Oryctolagus cuniculus: one gene and its partner. Each later gene encodes a partner of the first gene's protein in a complex. Links are inferred from orthologs where the notes say so. Each region holds a gene or a part of one and is shown in the gene's direction. Other genes may lie near its edges.

Region 1 (3,808 bases):
GAAATGTTTTGAATACATCCCCAAAATAGCCCCATCTTTTTTTTTTTTTTTTTTTAAGATTTATTTACTTATTTGAAAGGCAGAGTTACAGAGAGGCAGAGAGAGAGAGAGAAAGGAAGGTCTTCCATCCGCCGGTTCACTCCCTAGATGGCCACAACGGCCGGAGCTTCACTGATCTGAAGCCAGGAGCCAGGAACTGCTTCTGGGTCTCATGCAAAGACTTGGACCATCTTCTACTTCTTTCCCAGGCCATAGCAGAGAGCTGGATCAGAAGTGGAACAGCTGGGACTTGAATGGGCACCCATATGGGATGCCAGCACCACAGGCAGCAGCTTTACCCGCTACGCCACAGCGCCGGCCCCTAGCCCCTTCTTACATGAGGGATTTGTAAAATATGATATAAAATCCCTAACTGGTGGTCACCTCTCTAAACATAATCTTTAATGTATTGCCAGTACTTCGTTCACATTTTTTCTTCACAGTTGAAACACAGACCTAGCCAATTTAAATCCATTAAAAATCTGATTCAAGTTAGTGGCCTATCTAATAAAATTGCCACTTTTGTCTCAGTGGTGTTAATTTTATGAGATCTGTCTTTCCTTCAGAGTAGTAATAATTTCAGTTCTCCTCTCTCTACTCATTGTTTTCCAAAATAAGGGAAATGTACAACAAAATATTCACATAGTTAAACTGACCCTGTTGTAAGGCAGTGCTGCCGAATTCCAGCTGGAGTTCACTGATGTACAGAAGTCTGAATTTCGCAGGTTAAAGGCAGTTTAGGTTATCAGTTTAAAATGTATGCAAAGTCCACTTCATATGAAAGTCAAGGATTCTTTGCAAGGTATCACTCTGCTGTGTAATTATAGTGCATTATTAAATACAATAATTAAAAACAATGTCAAAGAGATGGCTAGACAGTTTCAGATTCTCTGGAAAGTAATTTTTCCTGTAAATTTCAATAATAATGAGATTGGGTGTGGCTCTGAATATGAATAACTACAAGCAAGCATGAACTAAATGTCATTTTTCTAGCACAGCAGCTTCTTGCAGCTCCTTACATTTTGTTAGTATTGTTATGATCTAGTACAAAGTCATTCAGACAGGCCTTTCCCAGCTGGCAGCTAATTTGTAATTATCATCAAGTTGTAACCAGTTTGGGACTAATACAACAAATCATGTCTCCAAAACAATTGTTCCTATTGTAAACACTCTGTAGGGAAAATGTACATTTGTTAAAGGGTCCAGCTCCTCAAGAGCAGGGCTGCTGTGTTTGTTCATCTTTGTGTCTTTGGGTTTTGCTTTTTAAGTTTTTTAAAGTTTGTTATTTAAGAGGCAAAGTTAGAGGGGAGAGAGAGAGGGCAAGCTCTTCTGTCTGCTGGTTCACTCCACAAATGGCCACACTGGCCAGGCCTGGGCCGGGCAGAAGCCAGGAGCCTGCAACTCCATCTGGCTCTCCCACGTAGGTGGCAGGAACCCAAGTACATGAGCCATCCCCTACTGCTTTCCCAGGTACATTAGCAGGGAGCCGGATCAGAAGTGGAACAGCCAGAACTCAAATTGGCACCTGTTGGGTACTGGTGTTGCAGCCCCCATCTCTGTATCTTTTGATCCTGGCTTAGGCTGTGACCCCTAATAGGTGCTCAGATAGGTTTACTGAAAGGAAGTGTGGAGGAACCAGGGCCACAGGCTCTTTTGGGAATCTCGCCTCTAACATGGACAGAGAAAGTAACTGCAGGTGTGTTTGGTCCCCATCAGGCCAACAGCGGTCCCAGTACAAACGGCTGTCAGTTCTTTATCACCTGCTCGAAGTGCGATTGGCTGGATGGGAAGCACGTAGTATTTGGTAAGTTCTACTCCTGTCCTGACAGCTAGGCTCCACTCATCCAAGGTGGGACTCCCAGAGGAGCCAATCCCAAACCCTTGCCAAGAATGTGCAACTGGTGTTACCTCCAGGTAGTAGGAGGGCAGATGCAAGTGGGGTGGGGAAGATGTGTGGTTAGAGGACTAGAAGGAAGAGCAAAGGGGCGACCTGATGTGGTGTGTAACCACTTGGGTAACAGGTATGCTGAAGGGAAAAACTCAGATGTTGGGACTAAAGAAATGCCCTAGTAGTGAGCTAAGCCACCACCTGCAGTGCCAGCATTCCATGTGGGCGCTGGTTCAAATCCTCGCTGCTCCACTTCCGATCCAGCTCTCTGCTGTAACCTGGGAAAGCAGAAGATGGCCCAAGTTCTTGGGCCCCAACACCCCTGTGAGAGACCCAAAAGAAGCTCCTGGTTTTGGTTCAGCCCAGCTTGGGCTATTGTGGCCATTTTGAGAGTAAACTAGTGGATGGAAGGACAACCCCGCCCCCCCAACTCTGCCTTTAAAATAATAAATCTATAAAAAAAAAAAGACATGCCATACAGGCAACATACTACAGTGGGTTTTAGAATTGTTCAGACGTGGGGCTGGCACTGTGGTGTGGTAGGCTAAGCTTCCGCCTGTGGCACTAGCATCCCATATGGGTGCTGGTTCAAGGCCTGGCTGCTCCTCTTCCCATGCAGCTCTCTGCAAATGTGCCTAGAAAAGTAGTGGAAGGTGGCCCAAGTGCTTGGGCACCTGCACCCTTGTGGAAGACCCAGAGGAAGCTCCTGGCTCTGGCTCCTGGCCCATGGCTCCAGATCTGCTCAGCTTTAGCCGTTGGGGTCATTTTAGGAGTGAACCAGCGGATGGAAGACCTCTCTCTCTCTAACTCTACCTCTCAAGTAACTAAATCTATAAGATAAAAAAAATAAGCTTGAGCCCTAACTTTGCTGCTTGTTACCTGTGACCTTAGGCAAGTCATTTTGCTTCCACTGAATCCCAATTTTTTTTCTAAGATTTTGTTTGTTTATGTGAAAGTCAGAGTTGCAGAGAAAGAGGGAAAGAGAGATCATCCATGTGCTGGTTTACTCCCCACATGGCTGCAACGGTTAGCGCTGGGCCAGGGCAGAACCAGGAGCCAGGAGCCTCATCCATATCTCCCACGTAGGTTGGAGGGGTCCAAACGCTTGGGACATCTTCCACTGCTTTTCCTAGGCCTTTAGCAGGGAGCTGGATCAGAAGTAGAGCATCCTGGACACAAACCAGCACCCATATGGGATGCTGGCATCGTAGGCAGCTTTACCTGCTACACCACAACACCAGCCCCTCCATTTCTGAAAGTTAGTAAAAGGGATTAGTAAGATAATATCCAAGAACATGCTTTGGAAATGAAAATGCTATGTAAACAAGAAGAATAAAGTCCAACTTGTACTCTTCCTGCAGGAAAAATCATCGATGGCCTTCTGGTGATGAGAAAGATTGAGGTAAGTCCTACTTGCTCTCTTTCCCAGCCGTTCGGGTCTGGTCCCTGCTGACTAGAGAAGGTAAAGACAGAGCCAGTCTTCCCTGCCTCTGGTTCCCTGCACACCCTCTGGAAAGGGAGGAGGTCGCACTCTCCCCTTGAGTGCTCTGTCCCTGTCGGTTAGGCTCTCTGTCCCACAATGAGGAGCGGCCTCTGGCAACCTGGTCCCCTCAGCCCTGCGTCCAGGGTCCCTCGTGATCTGATCCCTGCCTGCCCCGCTGTGCTGCACACTCTGTGTCAGGCTGCTGGCCCTGCTCCCACTGTGCCACACACGGCTCCGCCCCAGCCCTTGCCCCTGCTGTTTCCTCCACCTGGATGCTCTTCTTTCTCTTCCCCCTGGTGGGATCGCGTTCATCCATCTAGGCCCAGATCAAGCCTTCTCTATTTTCTTTTCTGTTCATTTAATTTTGCCCCCTCCCCCCCCCCATCAAAGAGCTAAAC
Region 2 (2,985 bases), on another chromosome or scaffold:
GAGGTCAGGGTGGCCGCGCTGGGGCGTGGGCGTGGCCGCCGGGGGGTGGGGCTTCTCTGGCAGAACGACGGGGGGGGGGGGGGGGGGAGTTTGGGGTTTCTGGGATGCCGCCCCGGGCCGCACAGTCCCTGGCACGCTTGCCTTTCAGCTTCCCCTGTCGCTGCTGAAGACGGCGCAGAACCACCCCATGGTGAGTGTGCGGGGGCCCTCCCGCCCTCCCGTGCGCAGCCCTGCGCCCGCAGCAGCCGGGAGCTCCCTCCAGTCCCCCGCGTGGGTGGGGGGTGGGCGGCAGGGGGCGCAGGGACTTGGGCTGGGGTGCGCACGCGCGGGAGGTGGTCCACGGGCCTCGCGGGGTCGCAGGGCCAAGCCGGGCCCCCCGGGCGTCTACACCTGCGGCCCCGACTCCCGGCAGCTGGTGGAGCTGAAGAACGGGGAGACGTACAACGGGCACCTGGTCAGCTGCGACAACTGGATGAACATCAACCTGCGGGAGGTGATCTGCACGTCCAGGGTGAGGCCCGCGCCGCCCCGCCCCCCTGCTGCCCCGCCCCGTGGGCGTCACCCGGCCAGCAGGAGGAGGGCAGTGCCCCCACCGCCGGGACCTACCGGGTGATGTGGGAGGGGCGGGGCGGCTCCCCAGGACCCACTGAGGGCCTCCCCCCGGGCTGTGAGCCCCTGCAGACCCCGGGGTGGCCGCCAGGCCTGGGCTGCCCCGCCTCCCGGTGGGAGGTGCTGGGTCAGACCCCGGGGTGGGGTGGGGTGGGGTGGGAGGGACCCGGCGCCTCCCCAGGGTTGGCTCAGCCCCCGGGCCCTGCTTCCAGATCCCCGGCGCCCGCGGGGAGGAGTGACGTCCCGGCCTGTCCTTGGCCACTGTGGAGCCAGCGTGGCGCTGGAGCTGGGCCCCATGGGACCGCCCTACTTGTGTCTGGCTGGCCTTGGGGTCCCCACTGGGAGCCCGCCCTCAGCGGCCTCGGCCGGCGACGCCCACCCAGCCGCCCGGGGAGCAGCTGACCGGAGGGGGGGTTCTGGCCGGGAACAGCGCCTGCAGGCACCGTGCGGGGCTGGTGGCCAGGGCGGGGCCGGTCCCGAGCTGTGTGGACCTTGTCCCTGTGCAGGGGCCCGGGCGGGGGTGTGGCCGGGAAGTGCCAGGATTGCATCTGTGGGACAGGGGCACACAGGGCTGTGGGGTGGGGGCGGGGCGTGCTGGGGGTGCCCCTCTCGGCCCACGGCACCGGTCACTGCCCCGCTGGGCCGTGGCTCCGTCGGTGCCCTGCTCAGGCCCAGAGACAGCTCTAGAAGGGGGGCTGTGGGCAGGGGGAGTGGGGGGTGGGAGAGACCCAAGCAGCCTCACTGGGGGCGGGGCTTCCTGGCTGCCCAGGGGCCAGACAGGCCCTGCGCGGGGGGGGGGGGGGGGGGCGCCCGGGGGGGGGGCGCCCCCCAGCCTCGGCCCTGGCCGCAGCTCAGGGACCCTCCGCCGGGCCGGGCGTTGACGCGCTGCCTCCGGCCCAGGACGGGGACAAGTTCTGGCGGATGCCCGAGTGCTACATCCGCGGCAGCACCATCAAGTACCTGCGCATCCCGGACGAGATCATCGACATGGTCAAGGAGGAGGTGGTGGCCAAGGGCCGCGGGCGCGGGGGCCTGCAGCAGCAGAAACAGCAGAAGGGCCGCGGCCTGGGCGGCGCCGGGCGAGGTGCGGGCAGGGCTGGGCGGGGCGGGGGAGGTGCGGGCGGGGGGGGGGGAGCGGTGCTCCCCTAGGCCCTCAAGCCCTGGTCCTGGCCAGTGGCGGAGCCCCTGTCCTCCCTGGGCCCTTGTCCCGGCCCCCGCCGCACAGCTGGGGAAGCTGAGGCCAAGCCGCCTCTGTCCGTCCCTGCAGGTGTGTTTGGCGGCCGGGGCCGAGGCGGGATCCCAGGCACTGGCCGAGGCCAGCCAGAGAAGAAGCCGGGCCGGCAGGCGGGCAAGCAGTGAGCCGCGCCCCCCGAGACCGAAGCCCTGCCCCGCTGCGGGACCCTCTCCTTCCGGCCGGGCCGCCTCGCCCCCCCCCCCAGTGTGGACACCTGTGTGGTGGTGTTGGTTTTGTGAAGCCCCCGCCCCGAGGCCGGCCCGGCTCCGTGGATAGCTCCGTGGATAGCCCGGCCTGCACCTGCTGGCACGGCCCAGGGCCGGCCCCTCCCGCACGGCGACAGGCCCGCGGGGGCCGTAGTGTCGCCTTCCAGACGGAGTGGACGGGGCCGGCCCATGCGCCTTTGCTTCCATTTCTCTGTGTTCTGAAAATAAAGCCCAGTCCAGCCTCAAGGCCCCTCGGCTTGCGTCCGCCCTGCAGCCCTTGGGCCCCAGGAGACCACATCTGGGGGCCCCGACCCGGCCTGGGGGCTCCACAGGGGCTGGGGGGGTCTCCCGAGCTCCTGGCCCGGCTTGTCCTGCGGCCCCTCCCGTCTTGATAGAGAGTCGGGGAGGGGGCACCCTGGCTGGAGCCACTGTCCGGCCCGCTGCCCCCTCTCTGTTTTCCCACCAGGTGTCACCTTGGTGATCGCCCCCCAACCTCAGGGGGGGCAGGGGTTCCGGTCACGGCCGGGGGGGGGTGACGCAGGGGAGGCCTGGGTCCCCGCTTGGGCGTTCTCCGGTCACGGCCGGCCGAGGCCCGTCTGGAGGGGCGACAGCATTGGAGGGACGTAAGTGCAGCCCCCACGGCTTGGGGCTCCCGGCTCTGCGGCCCACAGCTCCGTGGTGGCGGCGTCTTAGGGGCCGGCGCCGTGGCTCAGCGGGTGAAGCTCCGCCTCGACCCCCCAGGACCGCTGGTTCCAGTCCCGGCTGCTCCCAGCCAACGCACCTGCCATCCTCGCGCGAGCCCCTGATGGAGCGCCTGGCTCCTGGGCGGTGCAGCCGCCTGGGGAGTGGCCCAGCGGATGGAAGGCCTCTCTCCCTCCCTGCCCCCCACTTTGTGGTTTTGTAGCCTGCTACCCCAGGAGTGGGGAGACGCTGATC

Evidence for each region.
Region 2: PPIH (region 1) and LSM4 share a complex: the UniProt entries of both Homo sapiens proteins name them as parts of the U4/U6-U5 tri-snRNP complex. The link is inferred for Oryctolagus cuniculus from reciprocal best matches to the Homo sapiens genes PPIH and LSM4.

The regions. Positions count from the first base shown.
Region 1 is NC_091438.1:130,416,303-130,420,110, reverse strand, and holds part of PPIH (peptidyl-prolyl cis-trans isomerase H), read left to right. Parts: intron 1-1,755; coding exon 1,756-1,843; intron 1,844-3,288; coding exon 3,289-3,329; intron 3,330-3,808. UniProt on the Homo sapiens protein: PPIase that catalyzes the cis-trans isomerization of proline imidic peptide bonds in oligopeptides and may therefore assist protein folding. Participates in pre-mRNA splicing.
Region 2 is NC_091447.1:65,592,446-65,595,430, reverse strand, and holds the end of LSM4 (U6 snRNA-associated Sm-like protein LSm4), read left to right. Parts: intron 1-148; coding exon 149-190; intron 191-412; coding exon 413-511; intron 512-1,509; coding exon 1,510-1,693; intron 1,694-1,876; coding exon 1,877-1,968; 3' UTR 1,969-2,295; downstream 2,296-2,985. UniProt on the Homo sapiens protein: Plays a role in pre-mRNA splicing as component of the U4/U6-U5 tri-snRNP complex that is involved in spliceosome assembly, and as component of the precatalytic spliceosome (spliceosome B complex).